Notamacropus eugenii: one gene and its partners. The protein of the gene in region 1 interacts with the protein of each later gene in a biochemical or structural test. Links are inferred from orthologs where the notes say so. Each region holds a gene or a part of one and is shown in the gene's direction. Other genes may lie near its edges.

Region 1 (7,907 bases):
AACCTGGTGGTCTTCCCTTCACAGCTGGGCCTGTGGGGTGATCCTGTTCACACTCCTGGCTGGCTCTCCCCCATTCTGGCATCGACGCCAGATCCTGATGCTAAGAATGATAATGGAGGGCCGATACCAGTTCAGGTCACCAGAATGGGATGACCGATCAGCAACTGTCAAAGACCTGGTGAGTAAATCAAAGGCTCAAAGGGGTGGGGGAAATGCAGTAGTAGTTCAGGAGTCAGGAGAAGAAGTGTCTCATGGCCCCTACCCCTCTCTTAGATCTCAAGGCTACTCCAGGTGGATCCTGAGGAAAGACTGACTGCAGAGCAGGCCCTGCAGCATCCCTTCTTCCAACGCTGTGAGGGTAGCCAGGCCTGGAGCCTTTCTCCCATCCAGCGATTCAGGGTAAGGAACAGAGAGCAGATATTACAAGACAGAGGTTCCTGGGAAAACAAAACCCACTACTACCACACATCTACCTCACTTTACCCTTCCCTTGGACCTAGGTGATAAGAGATGACATTGTTTTCGCTGGGACTCAACTATCTTCAGAAATCTCAACTCATACTTTTAGTGTGTCCGTGATCTTGTTTTTCTTGTGGTTTTCTTTCCTCTCAGGTAGCAGTATGGACAGTGTTGGCTGCAGGCCGAGTAGCCCTGAGCAGTCGCAGGGTAAGGCCAATGAGCAAGGGAGCTCTATTAGGAGACCCATATGGGCTCCGACCAGTGAGGCAACTCATTGACAGTTGTGCCTTCCGCCTCTATGGACACTGGGTAAAGAAGGGCGAGCAACAGAACAGGGCTGCCCTCTTCCAACACCGGCCTCCTGGCCCATACCTGGGCTACAATCCAGAAGAGGAGGGAGATCCAACCAACACTGACGATGAATCTGTTGTTGCGTAGTTAAGACCTCCATCGTGGAGCCCCCAGAAGTCTGCTTCCCAGCCCGAGAGCCTTGGGAAGGACAGATTTCCCAATCTGAGAGCTTCAATCAACTCGGTCACCTTGGACTCTGGCCGAAGGCATTCTTCCCTTCTCTTGTGCTCTCTGATGATGATGCTACTGGAAAGGGGACCAACTCTGTGCCCCCATCCCTGTTGCTCAGGACTACAGGACTTGAATGGAAGGAAAAGGGACCAGCTGAGAATGATATTCACATCTTTGCTGTTGCTGTCCATTTTTCATGTGAAATAAATCATCCTGCACACTGGGAAACAAGCTGTGTCTCAAGATGGAGTGAGAAGGTGCTCAAAAGGGGACCTGGGGGAAGGAACAGGGTACTTCTGGCCCAGGCTTTTATTTGGGTAAATACCCCAGGGGTGACTTGGCTTTGCTTTTACTCTTGGAGACCAAGGTAGGATTCTCAAGGGCAACCAGCCTGCTATTGAGCTGCTCCTCGCCAGCCTTCAGCCGTTCCTCCACCAACTGCCTGAGCTGTCCTAGCTCATGGGTAAGCTGGGCTGTGATGAAATCCCGGAGTATATCGCCTGGACCTGGGGTTGTTGAAAAAGTGGTTCAAACTTGAGCCAAAGGAACCTTTTACATAAGAGAACCTCAGTCCCACATTGTGAGGAGAGAGGATTCATGCATGGTGTATCACAGTGCCTTATCAGGGAATGTCATGAGAGGTAGGAAATACACTGTTCTCAATTCAGTATTCTCAATTTAGTCCTTAAGGAGCTCCCTTTGGCTAGAAGGAAGCCCACCTAGAAAGAATGGGAGCAGAAGACATTTTTTTCTACAGGATAAGACAGAACAGTTTCCCAGGGAGGGCTTAGGGAAACAGGTGCCCCTTGATTGCTTACTTGGCTCTTGCTCGGTTTTTATTTCTGGTTCTGGCTCTTCGGGAACAGGTAACACCGTCTCCACTACCTTTTCTTCCTCTTGTACTGAAAGATGAAAGGGAGTGGAGCCATGAGCCCCATGGCATACTTCCCAACCCTCTTCCCAGGCCTAGTTTAATCTCCACCCTTCTTACCATCTGCTGGGGGCTTTACTTCAGGCAGACCTATATATCGCAAAGACAAGTCTAACCGCACCTGGGAGAGCAGAGGGAGTTCGAGAGGAGGGAGAGAGGAATGACAACTATGTTAAGATAGAGAAATGAGAAGGAATAGACTGGAAAGTTTCGTGTATCCTGTGGGACCAGTACCTGGGGGGTGAAGACATACTTGTAGAGCTTAAAATGACGGAAGTAGGTGTTGATGATATAATCTGATAGACTCAGCAGCTGTTCCTCTCCAAATAGGTCAATGCTGAAGGGGGGCCGCTGTGGGAAAGGGTAGGAATATATAGCTTGGTTCTTTTTCTTACAGAACCTTCAGAACAAAGAAAGGAAGAAAGTACTATAGCTTTGGCCTCCTAGGACTTGAGGTAGTTAAGGAAGGAAATAAAAAATTCTACAGGATGGAGCATTGGATGGGGATGTTTTAAATTCTTCAGAGTCCTCATTTCCTCTGTATTGGGACTGACCCTGACTCCATGGCAGAAGAGGAGGCTGGTGAAAAATCGGAAACAGTCTTCCACGTTGCCCAAGGGAGTTGCTGTGGAGAAGGAGAAATGAGTGACAGTGATAACTCCCTTAATCATGTGGAAAGAAAGGAATAAAATGACCTAGGTTATAGGAATAAGGACTGGGCCTCTTAACTCTTAATGATAGATGGAACTCTGGAATGAGGTAACCCCCTGTTTATGCAAGATGGCACTTTCTCTGCAACTTCTTAAAAGAGTTGCCTAGAAACTGAGAAGTTAGAATTTAGGTTACTTGTTCAGTGTCGGTCTGTATCAGAGGTAACTCTTGAACCCAGGGCTTCTTGGTTCCAAGGCTATTATATTTCTATTCGCTACTACCTGTCACTGTCACCTGGAATAAATGAGATTTCTCTCTGTCCGCCCCCCTCCCCAGCCCATTTGCTCTTCTACAAAAGGTTGAAGTAAAATTCTTGAGATCCCTCCCAATATTCTACTGTTAACCATGTTCATAAGTCAAATCAAACAAGCATTAAGTGTCTACTATGTGCCAGGCACCGTGGCACCGAGGAGCACAAAAACAGTCTCTACCCTCAAGAAGCTCGCAACCTAATGGAGACAACATGTACAGAATGATAGCTACAGGATAAATAAGAGACACGGCTTCTGGGGTTACTAGCTCATTTCACTGCTGCACCGGGACAGCCTCACCCTCGCCCTTACTACTACTACAGTTGCTCAGCCAGGACCAAGCAAGCACTATTTGGTGCTCATCACTGACCTTGCCTACCTCAGGCTCTCCCCTCCCACCCACCTTTCTCAGCCTGGATGTGACGAATCCTTGCAAGGCCCTTCTCCCAGGGGGTCTCACCAACTCACCAACACAGGCCTTGTGGAGGTCCTGAAGCAGAGCGCAAGCTGCTGAGGTCTGCTCCTGAGAAAAACGCTGTTGCCGGCAGAAGATCAAGGTGTGGCAAAACATATCCAGTAGCACTGCCTCCCTTGGGCTCCTGTCTGTCAGCCCCAGGCCTAGCAGTTCTGCCAGCAACCTTGGGGTGGATTAAGGTGAGGGTAGAGAGCAACCAGTTGAGGAGTAAAAGATCCTTTTCAGTCACCCCATCCTGTATTCCTAGGAAAGTATCTTTCCTCCTCCTGTGAGCGCCCTCCCTCCCTGTTTTCCTCATCCATTCAAAGAAACAGATTATTGGGGTGGGGAGGACCTCTGAAGTAATCTATTTCTGAACCCTCTTATTCACTTAGCCCGTACTCCTGCATCTCTTCCAAGGTGGTGGTTTTCTCCAGTAGGTCCATAGAATGTACATCCAGGTATTTCCTGCCATTGGAAAAGAAAAAAAGGGAGGTAGTTGGAAGGTAGCTAGGAAGAGGAATCCACCATGTGCCAGTTGGATTGAGAGTCAAGAGCCCTAGTCCTAAATTTTATCAGCTTTCTGCTTGGCCCTCTCAGGGCCTTTTCCTTATCTGAAAAATGAAGCCGCTGGACTAGGAGAATCCTAAGGCCCATTCCCTGCTGACCCCACGCTGCTCACACCCCTACCCACACCTAGCCCAGCCCCACCCGCAGGCCCAGGCCCAGCCCCGAGCTCACCACAAGCAGATCCGGGGCTCAGGAAGTGGCGGCTGCGAAGAAAGAGGGTTGTGTGACAACGCTGCTACGTTAGCGGCCTGGGGATCTCCGCTCTCGGGTGGCTCGGTTAGGCCGCCCGGGCGCGAGAGCTCCCCTGCGGTTCACAGGCCGCCCCACCTTCCCAGGGACGCGGCGGGAAGTGCACGGAGGACATGGGTCCTTTCTGCGGTTCTTCGCAAAGACTGGGCTGAAGTCCTAAAGGCCGACCCGACCCGCTCCCCGGGATCCCAGGAGGGGGGTACCGCCCCCGGGAAAGCTCAGGTAATACACCTCCGGCTGGGCCTCCGGGAGAAACAAGCGCGCTCCGCCCTCACCGGCAGCAGGTTGGCGCCCGGCTCCTCGGGGCTCTCTCTTTCAGGTTCCGGCTCGGGCTCTCCATTTGGCTCTCTCTCCATCTCCAAATTCAGTTCTGCTTCCTGGTTCAGATCCGGGGCCGCGTCCGGCAACCCCTCAGAATTCGGGTCCAACCCCAATCCCGGTTCAGAATTTAGTTCGGAAACTCCGCTAGATTTTCTTCGTTTCATCGTGCCACCCGCTGTTCCTCCGCCTTGTATGCCTTCGGGCCTAAGCTACGGGTCCGAGCATGGAGGCCCTGCCCTCTGTGGGAACATGTCAGCCAATCGAGATCAAGACATAGTCTTGTTCAGCCAATCCGTGGGAAGCGTCGTTGCTGGGGTCAGTGGTTGCTAAGGCGGCTCGAGGGCGGGGGTAAAGGCGTGACAAGCGGGAAGAGCGGACCAATAAATGAGGAAATGCTGCGCAAGCGCAGTATCTTCCGCCGCGAATATGAGCGGTCTCCTCACTACTACCAATAAAGAGGAGGGTGGAGTTACCGGGACAGGGGCAAGGCGGCATGGAGACGGTTGCCATGGTACGTGGTCGTTTCACCAATCAAGGAGAAGAGGATGGGCTGCTGGGTAAGAAAGCGTTCCGGAGGCAGGAGGCGGTTCTAAATGAGTCTCTGACCAATAGGAGAAGAAAGCAGACAAATTTAGCTACGTGCCCTCCCACTCGTCGGCGCCTGCGCGCTTTGGAGGCATTCGATGCGACATCCGGTGACGTACATCATGGCGGCGTTCGGCCGAACCTGGGACAGGTGAGGGGTCTCCTGAGACCGTCGGGGGCCAGGACCGGAGGAAGGAGGCCGCCGGCCACCTGGGCAGCTGCCTGGAGAAACTGAATCCTCCCTGGGAGGAGGTAGGTAGGAAGGAGCCGGGAAGGAGCCGGGCCTCCCCGCCCCCACTGGGATCCTGAGCCTCCCCGGGCCCCGCCTCTCCCTCAGGTGAAGGGGGAGCCGCCTCTGGTCGCCCTCCTCCTTTCCAGCCATGTCTGGGGCCGGCAACAAGCGCGCAGCCGGGGATGGGGGCTCGGGCCCCTCGGAGAAGAAGCAGAATCGGGAGGAGAAGACCACGACCACCCTTATCGAGCCCATCCGCCTGGGAGGCATCTCCTCCACGGTCAGTGCGGCCCCTCCCCCCTGCTGCGCACCCTTACCCCGCTTCCCACGCCTCACCCCCGCCATCCCCCCCAGACCCACTGTATTTGGAACCCTGACCGTGGCCAAGTCAGTTATGTGCCCTCGGAGCTTCAGGGTGCTCTGTAAAGCGAGGTTAACTCACAAGGAAAGCCCCCGCGTTGTCCTCATTTAGGTAATTGGACCTATCCAAGTCTGATCTCATCCTCCCGAGAAGAGATCACAGTCTGTCTACCCGTCTCTCATCTTTTCCAGTTCTTGTCTCTGACTTTATGTAAACGTTCTGCGGGGAAACCTGCCCAAAACACTGAAGGTCTGCTTGTTCCTTGAGTGTTTGGGGAGAGCCACTGTGGCACTCCAGCTGTCCCTCTGTTATCCTTCCAACCCAGTAGAGACTCACTCACTTTTATGGCTAGATGTTTTTTGTTGATATGTTTTCACTAATATTTTTAATGCTTTGTTGATAGAAGGCTAGACTTTGAGTCAGGAAGACATGGTTCAGAATCTCGCCTCTGATACAAGTCACAATTTCTCTAGCCTCACTTTCCCCTTGTGGGAAATTTGTAATGCCCACTTTGCAAGACTGTTACGTAGTTTAAAAGATCATATGTAAAGCACTTTACAAACTGTCGGGTGCTGTTTAAATTCGGTTGTCAATATTAGGGGCCCCCTTGTTAGAAGTTACAATGAGATTTTGACTCACCATACTTTCTATGGGGCCTTGCTTTCCATTTCTCTTTTTCTTAACATTTTATTACAGCCTTTCTCACTTTTTTCTTATGTTCTTTTACTCACTCTGCCTTCTACAGGAGGAGATGGACCTGAAAGTGCTACAGTTCAAGAACAAAAAGTTGGCAGAGCGACTGGAACAACGACAGGCGTGTGAAGATGAATTGAGGGAGCGAATTGAAAAGCTAGAAAAGCGCCAGGCCACCGATGATGCTACATTGCTCATTGTCAACCGCTATTGGGCCCAGGTATGTCTCCATCAACCATGATTCCTGCCTTTTTGCCTAAGTTTAGCTAGTCCAGAACCCTAGAATCAATCCCCTTCCCTCTTCTAGGCTATGCGTCTTCATTTTCTTGTTCCTTCTACCTCAGACCCTGCGCCAGTCCCCAGTTTTTTCTTCCTTGAAATCTTTTTAAACTTCTGCTTCAGAGTTTTCATCGTCCCCCTTTGGGGAAAGGTATTTTTGCCATTGAAGCCTCCAGAAAAGTCATGTTCTCTTGTGACACCCTCACAGCTGGATGAAACTGTAGAGGTTCTACTCCGACGGCATGAGGGACGAGGAGAATTACTATCTAGGATAGAGGAACCAGGAGCTCAAGATGGCACTGAACTTGATGGGACCCCTCTGCCTGAACCAGGAACCACAGACAGAAGAGGTGAGACCAGCAGGGGAGAGATAGTGAAAAATTGTGGAGAAAGTGATAAGCAGAGTGGAGACTGTACAGGTTTTAAAGTGACATATAAATGTTAGTTATCAATAAAAAGCCCATTTGTTAGGAGTTATGGTAGGGTTTTGATTCACCTCACTACACTTTCTGCAAGATCCTGCTTCTCATTTCTCCTTTTCATTATTGCTCTTCACACCCTATTGCATACCCATGTCAAATATAACAATCTTATTTGGATCTCTGTTTCAGATCTTCCCACCCTCCAGCTTCGGCCCCCCCTGAGCGAGCCAGCTTTGGCTTTTGTGGCAGCCCTGGGGGCCAGCAGTAGCGAAGAGGTAGAACTTCAGCTCCAGGGCCGAATGGAGTTCTCCAAGGCAGCAGTGTCCAGAGTAGTTGAGGCCTCAGACCGACTGCATCGTCGAGTAGAAGAACTGTGCCATCGAGTCCACAGCAGAGGTGAACCCAGGAGCACTCAGCCCCTTCCCTGTTCAGAACTGAGGCATATCAGCTTTTATTTGACTGCAGATGCCCATAGCAGACCTATTTATTACACATGTTCCCCAGTTCCTTCTAGGAACCTTTAGTTTGTCATGTAATTTCCTGCTGCTAGCTTTTTCTTCTGGTTGCCATTGTCCTCTCATTGGTCCCTACCTTTCCAGGGGAGTGTGAGTCCCTCGGAGAAGGACTTAGAGCTTTAACCAGGGAACTTGGACAAGACAACAGGCGACTACAGGACTTGACCACCCAACTGCAGGAAAAGCACCACCGAATCTCTCTGGAAGTAAGACTGCTGACATGGGGCACTTGGATGAATGTGGGAAGGAGATAAGAGAACACTCAGCCCACCCCTTGCTACTTCACCTCCACAGTACTCAGAACTCCAAGACAAAGTGACATCAGCAGAGACCAAGGTGCTGGAGATGGAGA
Region 2 (7,261 bases), about 310 Mb from region 1:
TCCCACTGATCCAAGATTTTTCTGGGGAAATATTTTATGGTTCTTTCAAGGTCAACAAGGGGAGGGGAGAGAGCATTTACTGATCACTCTGCCATTTTGGCTCCCAGAAGTTCAAGTAGATGACTTACAGACATTTAATCTGTGGGCTGATGGTCTCTGGTACAGCTGCTGCAGATAGCTGGGGCTCCATCTGCAGCTCTCACTCGTTCTGCTTGACTCTCGCCCTAAGCTGCTATCCTGCTGTGCTGCTGCTTCCTCAGGCCAGGGCTTTCCTGCTCAGCCCTGCTGCAGTCTGGAGCATTGCACTGTGTGCTGTATGCTCTTCTACCCCTGTGGAACAGGACCTTCCAGTCTGTCCTGGGCTGTGAAACGGCCAAAGTTTGTCTCCTATTGGATTCTGCACCTCCAAAATTTGATCAGATTCTCTTTTTAGAGGTATCTGAGGGAGTTTGGCTAAGAGCTTAGGTGAGTAGTTGCTCTCACTCTGCTGTGCTGGCTCTGCCTCTGTGGTTCTAAAATAGATATGAACATGGTTATCAGCTGTTAAGCTCAGACTAAAAAAAATAAAATGAAAGAGAAAGAAATAAATGAGAAGATGACTGGTGGAAGCAAGATAAAGGGAATAGAATTTACAATGTGTGTGTATATCCTTTGTTGCTGAAGAAGACCATGCCATCAGAGAAATGACATGACTTGCATTTGACTTTTGTTTTGAGTGAGGGAGGGCTGTGTAGGTCACTAGCCTCACTTCTCCTCCAGAGCCATCTGAATCCAGTGACCAGATATTCATTAGGATGACTGGAGATGACCCAAGATGAGGCAGTTGGGGTTAAGCGACTTGCCCAAGGTCACACAGCTAGTGAGTGTCAAGTGTCTGAGGTGAGATTTGAACTCAGGTCCTCCTGACTCCTGCACTGGTACTCCATCCACTGTACCACCTAGCTGCCCTAGAATTTACAATATAAAAAGATGGATTAGCCTTAGTGAAAAATAGGTATACTTCTTTTGTGATCCAAGTAAAAGAAAAAGATTATTGATTTTGAGGAATCCAAGGAGGCTGAGGGAGCTTATCTGAGATGGCCTCAACCTTCCCAGAAAAATAGGACAGCTAGGTCACCAGCTGTAATGGAAGTGGTAGGTGGGGGAAGGTAGGCATGGACAGGCTGATTTTAGAATACCCCATGCTAGGGGTATAATAATAATATAATATAATACAATCTGTTTCATAGATCAAGAAGTCTAAATCCTTTGTCCTTGGGTCACACAGTCAGTACTAGAAGTGTCCATTCAAGTTTTCCTGCCCTCATACAGGATCTTAGCTGTTCTCCTGGAGGATTGCTTTTTTTTTGCAAACCAAGGCTGACTTACTAGAAAGCATCTTGCTGCTGCTTTGCCTGCTAGATCCTTATTATCACCAAGATTTTGCAGCTGCTGTGAATCTTCACCCTCCTACATTCAAGTTTTCTCCCTCTAACAGAATGAGCTCACGGGGAGGGAGGATCATCTCTAGGGAGTGGATGGAGCACTAGGAGGAGAGTCAGGAAGACTAAGAGTTCAAATCTGGCCTCACATACTTAGGAGCTGTGGGACCCTGGCCAAGTCCTTTAACTTGTTTGCCTCAGTTTCCTGATCTGTAAAATGGGGACAGTAAGGATTGTTGTGAGGAGGAAATGAAGTATTTGCAAAGTGCTTAGCAAAGTGCCTACCACATTGCAGGCACCATATAACTGTTAGCTAGTGTTTAGCACAGGGATTAGCACTTAATGAATACTTTTCCATTCCATTCCAAAAGCTGATCTAAGTAAAAGCCAAGAATTTTCTTTTGGAAACGAAACTGAGAAAAAGTAAAACTATACATAGCAATTATGAACACAGACAACAGGTTTTTATGACTTATGCGGAGTAAGGATCCCTGTAAATGGAGAAATTCCACTAATATTGTGTGGCGCAAATTACTGACATTTATATAATGCCTGATGTAATATATATTATTAACATAATGTCTTATATATTATCTTATAGAATAACTTCTATTTTAACCTCTCAGCTCTTTGTGATGGGCACAATGGTTATTCTCACTTTACAGATCAGGAAACTGAGGTTTAGCAGTTAATGATCACGCAGCAAATGAGTGTTCGGGGCTAAAGTGGAACTGAGATACTGTAAACTTCAGGTCCTTGACATTCTTTGTAAGCTCCTGGAGGGCAGAGAACCTTTATTTTTACTTTTGTATCCCCAGCACCTTGCCCAGTGCCTGACCCACAGTGACTGCCCATAAACGCTTGCTGATTGACGCTCCTGCCCTGGTTAGATTGGATAAAGTAGAAGATAAGCTAAAATACGGAGGCTAAATGTCAGTAACTGGAGGACAACTTGTAGCAAGGTGAGACTGGCAACTTTCCAAAAGGCAACATACGGTATCGATTTTTTTACTGGTACCTAGGCAGCTAGCGGCTCATGGGGTGAGCACCGGGCCCAGAGTGAGAAGACCTAATTGAAGCCCATTCTCAGACAAGTCTCCCCAACTGCAAAAGGAGGATGATGACAGCACCCACCTAGCTCCCAGGCAGCCTTGGGGCAGCGTATAAATCCTGGCTGTTCTCACTGCCTGGGTCTCTGCCAGGCCCCGATGCAAAACCGTAAAGCAAAATTTCTTTGCCTTAATATTGCGTCTCCTTTCCCACTACGTTCCAGGGCCCACTCCAGAACTGCTTAGTAGAATAACTTTCGGATAATTTTTCCAAATCAGGGAAGCAGAAAAAAAGACTCCCCCCTCCATCCCTGCTGCCCAACAGAACGGGAAATCCCAGGCCTCACGCTCCCAAAGAACCAATGGCGCGCGCCCCAAACACAGGCTGAAAATGCCGAACGTTCAGAAACACAATTCCAGACTGGATTTTATTTTTTCCCAACACATACGTCTAGAATAAGAGGAGCACTGGAGGTGAAGAAGGAAGACCAACCGGTGGGAGGAAAGCCGGGGGTGCGACTCGCATAGTTCTCGGAGGACGCAGGGGAGGCCGGCAGGGGAGGCCGGCAGGGCAGGGCCGGACCGAGGCCCCCGGCGCCGGCGGGGTACAAGGCCCGAGCCTACAGACTCCCCCGGCTGCGGGGTCGGACTGGCCATGGCGGGGCCTCAGTCCGACCCTCGTCTCCTTCCCTCCATACAGGTACCCGCATAGGCCTCGAGGCCTCCCTTCCCTCCACGCCACCTAGGGCGGACCCGGAGGCCCCGGGCGGAAGCCCCGGCGCCGACCTCGGCTTTCCTATAAATCCCTGTAGCGTAAGAGCGGCGGGGGGCTCTAAGCCGGACACAAATGTCCTTCTGGCCCTCGGGGTGAGCGCGGTCCGTACCCCCTTCCCTCCCGCAGTAGGTCCGCTCCCGCCCGCCCGGGCCGAGGCACCCACCAGCCCCTCCTCCGAGGGCAGCCGCCTCCACGGCGGGAAGCCGGTATCGAACTTCGGGGCGCACCACTGCCGCAGCAGCTTAGGCTTCCTTCGGACACACACAGAAGGCGACCAGAGGCCTCCGGCGCGCTCCGAGGAGAGGCGCAGGGGCGGAGGGGGAGGGGAGAGAGGAAGGAGGAGGAGGACGTACGCATGGGGAGGGAAGCGGCGGAACCGGAAGGAGCCGACGGGTCGCGAAGAGGCGAAGTACGCCGAGTTCGGCGTTCGGGAACAGGGAAGGGAGGGGAGACGGAGGAAGCGCTAGGGGAGGAGCGGCTTGGCGGAAACTGCCGATGTTTTCCGAAGGCGGTGGCGTCCGAGTTCCCCGGATGTAGTTGGAGGAGCGGCGGCAGCGGCGGCGGCGGCACCAACAGCGGCAGCGGCGGCGGCGGCGGCGGCGGGAGGAGGAGGAGGAGGAGGAGGCGGCAGCGGCGACGGCGACGGCGGGGGGAGGAGGTGGAGGAGAAGGAAGAGGAGGAGGAGGAGGAGGAGGGGGCGGCGGAGGAGGAGCAGGAGGAGGGGAAGGCGGAGGAAGCCGTCGCTCTCCGCTGGGCCGAGCCGGTCGCGTCTTCTTTCTCCCCCCTTCCCCCCGGTGCGCCGCTGCCGCGGTGTAGTTGGCGCCGCTGCCCCCGCCGAGAGCGAGCGAGCGAGAGACGGACGGAGCGAGCGGGCGAGCGAGCGGGAGCGAGCGTGTGCGCGGCGCCGGGGGAGGGCCATGGCCCGAGAGCGCCGGCGCCAGTAACGGAGCGGCGCTAAGACCCGCTGAGGGGGTGCTGGCCGCCGCCGCCGCCGCTGCCCGTCCGCCCGCCCGCCCGCCTCCCGCCTCCCGCGGCCCTCTCCCCCCCTCCCCGACACACACACACAGGCCGGGCATTGATGGTAATGTATGCGAGGAAACAGCAGAGACTCAGTGATGGGTAAATCCTCTCTCTCTCTATGTCTGTCTCTGGCCGGGCTGGGGCCGGGCCGGGCCGCGCCGGGGGCGGCGGGCGGGGAGGGGGATGTTCCTCCTTATCGAGCTCGGGCCGAGCCGCCATTTTTGTTGTTAACCCCGATCCGGGCCGGCCTGCGAGGAGGCGGCGGGGGCGGCCGCGGGCCGGGCCGGGCCGCCGGGGGCTCCTGGGCGCCGCCGCCCCGCGGCCGTGCGGTCGGCCCGGGCCCGTGGGCGGCCGGCCTCGGGTCCTGGGGGGCGGGGGGGGGTTCTGCTCGCCTCTCCCTCTCGGGGTGTTAATGTCGCTGTCTGTCTTCCTGTTTTTCAGCTGTCACGACCGGAGGGGGGACTCGCAGCCCTACCAGGTACCAGCCGAGTCCTAGGGGAGGGACGGCCGGGGAAGGCGGAGGGAGGGACCGACTGCTGCTACTCGAGCTTAGGCTTCAGCCGTCGGCGCAGGCCCTGCGGGGCAACGAACCCGAAACCAGCCCCCCGGAACCCCACGAAAGCCGGGCTCGGATTGGTGGAACGACTGCCCCCGGCCCGCATGGGGGGGCCCCGGAGAGCCCACGAGCCCAGCCCGGATATTTTAGCGGGGAGGGCAGAGAGGGACTAGTTTAAATTTTGGGGGGAGGGCGGTCTTCGTGAGTGGCAGCCTGCTGAAATTTTAAAAAGGCAGCGAGTTGATTCTCTTTGCTATGGGAGTGTACCAAAAGTCTGAACCCCAGTCCGGAGTGATTTCACTGCCTGTTCAGAGTAGGAGCCAGCCCTGGACACTTGGGAGCTATGTCCTGAGGAGACATCGGGGATTCGAGGGGTTTTGGTTCCTTTTCAGGGCAGCTCTTGACCAGTGTCTCATCAGAAATTACGTAGGACAGTCCTTGTGGTTCTTTGAAATGGATGACTTTTCAAAAGCTATCAAAAATGGATGACAGCTGTCAGAGGACACTTAGGGGTCTAAATGAGAGGGATCTGCAGATCCCTCAGCTAGTAATCCTCTTATTCAAAATTTCTTGACTTCTTGTGCGTTTGTACCTCAAACCAAGTAAGTTACAACGCACTACAGTGTGTCATACAGCATAATATTTGTTTTGAAGATGTTAAAGGATAGGTCATGTTTTCCTTGATATAATTGCACATTATAATAGCCTGAAACGACCTGCTTAATTCTCTAAGGAGAATGTAAGTCTGGTTCTATTACAAAGGCAGCACTTTTTCAAAGTTATCCTCTGCATTTTAATTTACCTTTAGAATTAAATATTTAATAACGTAGGATCCCAGAGTTAGAAAGGAACCTTAGGTTATTTAGCTTTAAAATTAAGTATTTAGTATCATAAGATCCCAGAGTCAGAAATTAAGTTACGGTTAATTTAAGGTTAATTCTGATTCCTTTTTTTTTTGCATGTACAGAGATGAAATTTGTGATTAAAGAGCTTCTTGTAAATGAAATCCATTGGCGCCTGTTTAGATACATAGATGAATTTTTAGGGCAGAAATGGATGACCTAGTACTCAACTATCGATTTCTTATGCTTTAACAATCCCTAGAAATGGATAATGGCTAAATTGGGTGGATAAATAGATACCAAAATGTCCAAATAATTTGGGGAATATAGACAATAGGAAATCACCATGAAACAGTAGACAGAATGCTGATAGTATATGATCAGAGGATTTAGGTTCGTATCTCAGTCTGTTGCTTATTACCTCTGTGGCAGCAGCATGCCACTTAAACTATCCTGAACTTCTGTTGCCTCATTTATAAAATGAAGTAGTGGGACTATATGACCTTTGAGTCTCTTTTGACTCTCACTGTATAGTATTATAAGGTCATTTCTGTCCCCATCCCATCTTTCCCAGAAAGGTTTATTAAGGAATGATGCCCCAAGATCGTTTCAAGCAAATATTCTGAAATATTTAAATGAGTGATTAGAGATCTCATTATTTTGAATCATTGCTATTTATAGACACATTGACTTCTTGAATCATGTTTGATTAAAATTGATGTTTTAAGTCATAAAACTTAACGAAATAAATTTCATGTTGTCATAATTAAGGACTCAAGTTAAAGGTCTGTGCTTTTCTTTGTATGATATTTTGTAGGCTCTTAAATATTCATCGAAGAGTCACCCCAGTAGTGGCGATCACCGACATGAAAAGATGCGAGACACCACAGATCCTTCACCACCAAATAAAATGTTACGACGATCTGATAGTCCTGAAAACAAATATAGCGACAGCACAGGTCACAGTAAAGCAAAAAGTGTGCATACTCACAGAGTTAGAGAGAGGGATGGTGGTAAGTAGTTTTACTTACAAAAATTTTGTACCTATTGAAATTTTTTTTTTTTTTTGGTACGGTCAATCAAAATCAATCTATGAAATAGAGAACAGAATTATGTTATTAGTGGTGAACTCTGCCACTTTTATCTCATCAGTGTTCTTTATTTTTTGGTCAGAATATTTTGATCCTTTAACTTAATCTAGAAGTAAGATGTACATTTAGAAATTGAATTGGCTTCACCAAGAAGATTCTTAACGACTATAATAGTATTATTGGTTGGGACATGAGGAGAGGTTAGGAATTGACTGTGGGTGTATATAGAAAAGAGCTCTGATTATTTTGGAATCAGGAAAATAAATAGAACCAATCTTTTCACATTTTTAAAAAAGGCATAAAATAATTTGAATTTGATTGTTTTTTTTAATTGCTCATTTTATTTAAAAGCATTCAAGTTCATATCTTTCTGATAACTTTTAAATCCTCAGAGGCAATTGAAAACCCAAGTTTGAGATATCTGTGGCAAATGTAAGCAATTGGTAACACTGAAAGTATTTCCTAGCTTTCTTTTCCACTTTCCTCATGACCCTGGAGATATCTTCA
Region 3 (7,814 bases), on another chromosome or scaffold:
CAAGTCAAGAGCTCTATCCACTATGACACCTAGCCGCCTTGATTAACACCATTATTCTTCAATATATACTAGTATTGTTAGCTATAGCAATGGCAAGAAAAAGAAATGGAGAGAATAAGCACAGACAAAGAGAAAACAAAGTGATCATCTGCAGATGATATGAGGGTTTACTTAAAGAACACTAGCAATTCAACTAAAAACTAACTGAAACAATTAACAACTTTAGAAAAGTTGCAGGGTATAAAATAGGCCCACATAAATCATTAGCATTATTTTACATTACCAACAATATTCAGCAGAAAGAGCTATAAAATTTCATTTAAAATAATTACAGAAGATATAAAACAGTCTACCTGAAAAGACATATGCATCAAATATATGAACATAACTACAAAACACTCTTTATACAAATAAAGACAGGTGTAAATAATTTGGGAAATAGTATTTGCTTATGGGTAGGCTGAACCGATATAATCAAAATAACAATGCTACCTTAATTAATTTACTAATTCAGTACTATAGCAATTAAACTATCAAAGGGTTATGTTATAGAACTAGAAAAAATAATAAAGTTCATCTGGAGAAATAAAAGTTCAGCTCTTTGACTGAATCCAAACTTCACAGAACAAATTCCCTTAATAAAAAGATTTGTTCTTAAAACTGGAACTCAGTCAAAATGCCCCACCTAAGAACCCAGAAGGCCACATGTGGCCTCAGGGCCTCAGGTTCCCCACCCCTAGAATCTCAAGTGAATTGATAGGGAAAAAAAAAAAAGAGGAAAAAGAGGGCCTAGCAGCACCAGATCTCAAACCACACTACAAAGCAATAATCATCCAGACAATTTTGTACTGGCTAAAAAATAAAAAGGTTGATCAGTGGGACAGATTACATAAACAATATACAAAAGCAAATAAGCACAATAACCCAGTGCCTGATAAATCCAAAGATTCCACTGACTGGCGTAAGAAGTCACAATTTTACAAAAAGTGTTAGGAAAAATAGAAATCAGTCTGGCAAATACTAGGTATAGACTGGTGTCCTATGTCTACCAAGATAAACTCCAAATGGATATATAACTTAGACGTAAAGGGTGATGTCGTAAGTAAAATAGATAAACAAGGAAAAAATTTCCTGTCAGGAAATAAGAGGAGTTCATGATGAAATAGATAAAAAAAAAACCACAGCAATTTTGATTGCATAAAATTACAAAGTTTTGCACAAACAAAACCAATGGAATTAAAATGTGAAAAGAAGGAAGTAAATGGGGGGGAAAAAACCTTTGCAGCAATATTTTGTGATAAAATTCCCATTTCTAAGATATACAGGCAACTGATTCAAATTTATAAGAAAAAGAGTCATTCTTCAACTAACGGAGTCAAGGTATATGAACAAGCAGTTTTCAGAGGAGGAATCAAAGCTATCAATAGCCATACTTAAAAAATACTTTAAATCACTAATAATTAGGGAAAGACAAAACAACTCTGAGATTCTACCTCATACCCATCAGATTGGCAAAGGGGACAAAAAATAGGACAAGTCTTTGACGCTTTGAAGGATCTGTGGTCTTATTAGTAAAGGTGCTCTCTTGGAGGAATCCATTCCTCCACATCTTCTCATTCTGTGCAGTTCTTGCCTTTGTCTTTCAGTAAATCTCCTACAGAGAACCCAGTGACTCAAATATATCTGATTTTCTAGTCCTGCCCTCTCTTGAGCTCTAGTCACATCTCCAGCCACCTTTGGGGTATCTCTACTTTGAAATTCTGCCAGCATTTCAAGATCAGTATATCTAAAACTTCACTATTTCTGTCTGTTGCACCACTATTTATTGAGTGTTCTATATTCATAACCTTAGGCTTATCTTTAATTCTTCTCTCTTCCTCACCTTATATTCCATCAATTATCAGGCAGTACTATCAAAGCCTACCTTCACATCTTTTGAATCCCTAATCTCTCTTGTCTTGCACTTTGGTCCCATATCACCAGTTGCCTGCTAGCCATCTCCATCTGGATGCATCTCAAACTCAACGTGTCTAAAATATAAGTCATTATTCCCCCCTCCCTCCAAACCCTTCTCTGGTTCATAGATTATAGATTTGATTTAAAGGCCATCTTAAGTCAAACTATTCTTTTTTGCAAGCATGGAAAATAAGGCACAGAGAGGTTAGTGTCTTGTCCAAATCCAAGATTTGCACCCTTATCTGATTCCAAACCCAGCACTCTTTTAACTATAACACAATGCCTCAGTATCCCTGTTTCTACTAATAGTATGACCATTCTTCCAGTCACTCAGGTTCATGGTCTGGACTCTTTCTTCTCCCTTAATCCCCATATCCAATGAGTTGCTAAGTCTTGTTATTCCCATTTCCTCACCTCACTCATATCCATCCTCTCTGCTTGACTCATACAGCCTCTTCCCTAGTTCAAGCCCTTATCACCTTTTGTTTTGTTTATAATAGTTTCCCTAATTGTATCCCAATACTTTCAGTCTCTCCCTTTTTTAATCCATTCTCAATGCAGCTGCCAAATTCACATTCCTAAAACTCATCTCTTGTCAACCCCCTACTCAAGAATCTTAAATGCATCTTTGTCTCCAGGATAAAATGCAAAATCATTAGTTTGGCATTTGCAGCCCTCTGCAATATGGTTCCCACTTACATTTCTAGTTTTCTTTCATCTTATTCCCCTTACCATCTCCAATCCAATCAAACCGATCTACTAGTAACTGAAGCAAATACTCCAACTTTTATCTCCATCCCTTTGCACAGCTGGTCATCCTGTTTCTAAAGGGCACTTCCTCTATATCTCCGTCTCAGAGACTGAATTTCCTTCAAAGTACAGCTCAGGTGCCATCTCATACATAAGGCCTTTTCTAATAGCACTCTTTCCACCTTGAAATTATTTTGTATTCAGTACTCAGTCAACTAGAATTTATTAAACACAACCTACGTGCTAAGCACTGGGGATACAAAGGAAGGCAAAAACAAAAAAAACAATCCCCTCTACTCCTAAGGAGTTCACAGTCTAAATGGGGAAACATGTAAGTAACTACATACAAACAAAATATAGACAGGATAAATTGGAGGTCAGCTGAGTGAAGACATTAAGATTAAGAAGCACCAGGAAGGCTTCTTGCAGAAGGTAGGACTTTAGCTAAGACTTCAGGAAAGCCTGTGAAGCTAATGGAAGGAGACTAGAAGAGAGCTTTCTAACCTTGGGGGGGACAAGCCAGTGAAAACTGGATCCTACCTTTATTTACTAAGTGTCTTTCAAAAAGTCTATTATAAAAATCTATTAATAAGATAGACTCTGTTTATATCCTTTATCATTTCCAGGCTCCTGATAGATGGAGAATTCCACTGGGACGCGGATTATACCGTAATTATCTTTGTATCTCACAGGGATCTTAGTTAGCTTTGCATCTCTCCTAGCACCTAGCATGTGCCTTGCACACAGTACTTATTAACAAACAGTTCTTGAACAAATGAAAAACACAAGACACAAAACACAATATTATATCAAATGCCAACCTTCTATCTTCCGACTTTTTTTTTTTCAAAGCAGAATCAAGGCTTTCTTATAGACAAAATCCACGAATTGTGATACAAATCCTCGAATGAAATAGTGCTCATTCAAGAAAAAAAGACATTATGCCTGAAATTCTAAGATAATTTGAAAACACACACACGCACACACCACACACACACCCCCCCACGCACGCACCTCCCTGGGGTTTCCAGCTCCAGAATGACCTCAGCGCAGAACAGAAGATGTCCACGCACACTGGGACATTTTATTCTTCTTTGTTGGAAGGGCGTACAAAAGCTCTTCCTCTCTACTACCGCCCTACAGGGGGATACACCGAAATCACTTTTCAACAGCCTGAGAATATTTTTATTCTGGCCTGGTTTTTCTTTTTTGGGGGGAGGGGAGGGCTAAGCCTTAAATTATATTGACACTACATTAAAGATTTTAAAGAAGCCCCTGGCTCAGGGCGGGTCCGTGTCCACCTTCTGAAAACTAACCAACCTAGTTAAATTTGGAGTCTCGATCAGCAGGGGGCCGCTAGGCAGGGACTTGTTCCGCCCCAGGAACTCTCAAGAACAAGAGGGCAGCGACGTGCGCCCGGAGAGGGAGTGCCCGCGACGACCAAGTCCCCAGGTCTTGAAGGCAAAGAGAAGGGCAAGCCTTCATTCCGACCGAGCAGTGCGTCTGCTACCTCCTGACCGGCGGCAGGACAACAGCCGCGGCTCCCGGTGGGGGACGAGGCAGCTCTGTTCCCGAAGAGAAGGTTCTTCCATCACTGCGGAACTGACCACTCTCCTCGCAACTTCACGGTTCCAGTACCTTCTCTGAAACAGTTCGGCCTGCGTCACAGGGCCACGTGGTCTAGTTCCCTCCCCACCCCCATCTGAATTGTTGACAGCATCACCGAGTATCACGTGATCTGACGTCATCGTCCTTCCTCTAGCCCGAAATCTCAGGAGCTAGCTGCATCACCCTCTCCAGCATCTCCGACTCCTCCCCACTCGGACGAGTCTAAGATTGTATCAAGGGGGAACTAGTACAGAATTGCTCGTGATACGGCTTCTGTTACTTACTATGCAAAGGAAATGAGGCCAATATAAGGAATATTGCATTGAAAAATAGTGATACAGTCAAAGACTCTATATTTTTCTGACGAAGGATGCAGAATTCGTTCAGACTCCTCCCTTTCCTCCCCCTCCTACAAAGTCGCCATAGTGGTACAGGCGGAGGGCGGAGGGATCTTTTGTGCAGCGGAGGAAGAAGTCATTGCGGGTTGTTTGTGAAGCTTTGGCGGTGGCGGTGCTCCTGAGTGCTACGGCCGGGGGGGTGGGGGGTGGGGAACTCGGGACTCTTTTCTCTCACACAGACCGCGGGGGAGCGGGGGGATCATGTCGACCCCGGCCAGGAGGAGGCTCATGCGGGACTTCAAGCGGTAACTGCCCCCAGCAGATGTCCCTGTCCTATTTTCTCGCTGTCTTCCTCTCTTCCCCGAAGCCTTTGGGCAGAAGAGGAGACTGGAGACCAATCCCGGCGCGGCCAGGCCGCAGGGCACCTTCCTTTTAGCTCCGACGCGGCCTGGCCTGTCTTAGATCCCGGGTTGGGGCTGGGGGTCGGGCCGGGTTTGAGGCGGCTCCTCACCGGAGCTCGCTGCACTCTCTCGTCCTTCGGTTCCAGGCCTAGGGAATTCCCATTTTTTCCTTCCCTTTCCTAGGTGAAAACGGAGCTGAGGGTGGGGGCAGGGGACTGCACAGGCCTCCAGCGTCGCCCACTTCTCCATCCCCATCCGTAGAAGGGGGCGTCCGACACCCCCGGGTTTGGGGAACGGAGGAGGGCCTGTCCGAGCCTCGTTTGTTTTTGTAATAGAGGAAGGTGATCGGACACCCCCAGGTTTGGAGCCGGGGGGAGGGGGAAGGGGAAGGAGCTGACTTCTTTGCCTGCCTGGGTTTCATTTGTTATTTTAATGAGGCGAATGTCGGGTGACACCCCCAGGTTTGTACGGGAGGGGTTATGTCTCTTCTTTCCCCCCCACCTCCTTCCTCAGGTTCTATTCTTTTTGTATGCCCTAGCGGGGTGTCCTTTTCTCTGGAGGAGGCTCCCCTTCCCCCAACCGGAATCTTAATTCTGTGTTTTTCTAATTGAATCCCACATCCCTTCTCCCGTGTTGGGGCTGGGCCAGAGCTACCCCTGTCCCTTCCGTGAGGGTGGAGAAGTTGGTGGAAGCTGGAGTCTAATCCTCTTCCTCTCTTCCTCCTCTTCCTCCTCTTCGTCGCCCCCCTCGGGAAAAAAGGGCAAAAACAAAAACAACCTTGCTGGGTGCTGAGCCAGCCCAAACCTCTGGTACCAGTCCTTGGAAGAGCTAGTTAGGGGTCTGTCGGGGATCAGCTCATTCTCTCCAGATATTCCATTTAGTTACGTGGAGAAATGTTGGATAAATCTTTGAACTAGTAACTTTTAAGGTTAGAAGAAATGCCTTTCCTGCCAGTACTGAAGGTGACAAGCACCTGGGTCCCCTGTAGTACATTTAGATTTTATTTTAGGATTTTTATCTGTTGATAAGGATGGGATTTTTGACAAAGTAGATTTTTTTCCAAGTCATTTACTGACCTTTGCAAACACTTGGAAGATACATAGGAATATAAGTAGTGAGGAAATGTCTTACTTGAGCCTTATCTTTTCCTCAACATTTTTTTCTTTTTGCTTAAAAGAGAAGTGTTTTGAGATGACTTCTTTGATCTGGAGAAACCTGCGTTGTTTGTCACAAAGTTATTTTATTAGTTACTTAAAAATTAGAGTGCTTTCACCACACCCTTTTAAGTTCTCAGGTGAAGTGCTTGAGAGATTTTTTTCCTTAAGTATGAACCAGTTCTGTCTCTTCTTCAGACTGAGCTGTTCTGGGTGCCTTTTCCCTAGGGGAAAATGGAATGATTCTGCTTAAATGCTACTAAAAATTTTTTTAGTATGAAGATAAATACTTACGTGCAAAGCATTGTACAATTTGCAACGATATTTTACAAGTAAAACTTTATAGCTTTATAGCCCTGCATTGAAGCTTTTAAAAGAGGGTTACCTGAATAAGGGGCAAAGTAGGTGGTTGTTAACTCCATATCCTATTTGTCTTTGTTCTCTTATTGGAAGGTAACACACTTGATGAACTTTGCAGAAAAATTAGAAGAGTCACCTGTATAATGTACTCAGCTTTTGGATTTTTTTTAACATCTTTAAAACATTTTATGGTTCAGATATTTCATTGGTTAGTTTTTTTTGACAATTACCTTAAGTAATAGGTTTCCAACTTGGGTTCCAGGTACTGAGCATTTTTAAAAATTTTGCTTTGGATACAGCTTAATTCTGGCAACAAAACTTTTTATGTACTACATTTCTAGATGCCAAAAAAAAATTGTACCTTTAGGAGCTTGCTGGAGTTAATTAGCAAGAAGTTGTGGCCATTATGGAAGATATATCAATCCTGCCACTTAGCTTGCTGATTGTCTACTGAACTTGCTTAAGAGGCTATGATGTTTATCCATAAGGGGGGGCGGGTAGTGAATTGGAAAGTGTCAATTATAAAAGGGAAATAAATATGCACTACTTGCATATGAAAACTTCAGCTTCCTGTAGTTGCACTGTCCTTGTTGTCCATTGGGCGCTGTTGTTCACCAGCGTTGTATCCTGGGGTAGCTTCATTATTCTGAACTTTGACTTGCTTCTTCAGGAACCTTACTCTTCTTAAAAGCCACACCTTGCTGAGCAGTTGAATCTACCCTTTAAACGCTGGCTATTTAGAAACTCTTTACTAGACTCTAACCACCTAATTAATTAGCTGCTTGACCCTGGAAGAAGCACTTAATTTGTTTGAGCCTCAGTTTCTTGTCTAATTGTAGAATAATGGTAGGTACATTAATTTGTAGTGCCCATTAGTGTTAGGGGGATTAAATGATATAGATGTATATGAACCGATTTGTCCATAAAGCCTTGTTCATTCCATTTGTTGCCATTTTTGTGTAGCTGTTTTGTTTAGAATCATAGTGCTCACAAAGTCATTACTAGTGTAAGAGACTACTATTTACTATTTACAACTCCATCCTGCACCATTATGTACAAAATAGCCTTTTCAGTTGTGAGAGCTGTGAGATAAAATTTTAAAAGGTAATGTATCATTTAGTGATACTATACTCAGAAAAAGCATTGTTACCTTTTCTTCTAATCTAGGCTTTCTTGTACTTGCAACCTCTGTTTGGTTCCTGCCTAATTAAATTTAGGAGACTGGCAGCCAGTAAACCACAAGAGCT

What was found.
Region 2: the proteins of RNF40 (region 1) and WAC form a complex in vitro, tested with the Homo sapiens proteins (2 studies listed by BioGRID). The link is inferred for Notamacropus eugenii from reciprocal best matches to the Homo sapiens genes RNF40 and WAC.
Region 3: the proteins of RNF40 (region 1) and UBE2B form a complex in vitro, tested with the Homo sapiens proteins (3 studies listed by BioGRID). The link is inferred for Notamacropus eugenii from reciprocal best matches to the Homo sapiens genes RNF40 and UBE2B.

The regions. Positions count from the first base shown.
Region 1 is NC_092874.1:377,895,192-377,903,098, reverse strand, and holds the start of RNF40 (E3 ubiquitin-protein ligase BRE1B), read left to right. Parts: upstream 1-4,847; 5' UTR 4,848-4,979; intron 4,980-5,080; 5' UTR 5,081-5,305; intron 5,306-5,390; exon of another isoform or gene 5,391-5,431; 5' UTR 5,432-5,433; coding exon 5,434-5,565; intron 5,566-6,391; coding exon 6,392-6,559; intron 6,560-6,826; coding exon 6,827-6,968; intron 6,969-7,229; coding exon 7,230-7,436; intron 7,437-7,639; coding exon 7,640-7,761; intron 7,762-7,849; coding exon 7,850-7,907. Other genes in the region: PHKG2 (phosphorylase b kinase gamma catalytic chain, liver/testis isoform), read left to right, coding at 25-178, 274-399, 613-897; CFAP119 (cilia- and flagella-associated protein 119), read right to left, coding at 1,291-1,487, 1,800-1,883, 1,973-2,033, 2,147-2,263, 2,467-2,537, 3,343-3,512, 3,731-3,796, 4,070-4,101 and 1 more.
Region 2 is NC_092874.1:69,112,312-69,119,572, forward strand, and holds the start of WAC (WW domain-containing adapter protein with coiled-coil), read left to right. Parts: upstream 1-4,215; 5' UTR 4,216-4,306; coding exon of another isoform or gene 4,307-4,321; 5' UTR 4,322-4,323; coding exon 4,324-4,364; intron 4,365-4,706; coding exon 4,707-4,743; intron 4,744-6,480; coding exon 6,481-6,676; intron 6,677-7,261. Other genes in the region: uncharacterized protein, read right to left, coding at 3,409-4,199, 4,307-4,321.
Region 3 is NC_092872.1:340,822,163-340,829,976, reverse strand, and holds the start of UBE2B (ubiquitin-conjugating enzyme E2 B), read left to right. Parts: upstream 1-4,758; 5' UTR 4,759-4,913; coding exon 4,914-4,957; intron 4,958-7,814. UniProt on the Homo sapiens protein: E2 ubiquitin-conjugating enzyme that accepts ubiquitin from the ubiquitin-activating enzyme E1 and transfers it to a E3 ubiquitin-protein ligase. In vitro catalyzes 'Lys-11'-, as well as 'Lys-48'- and 'Lys-63'-linked polyubiquitination.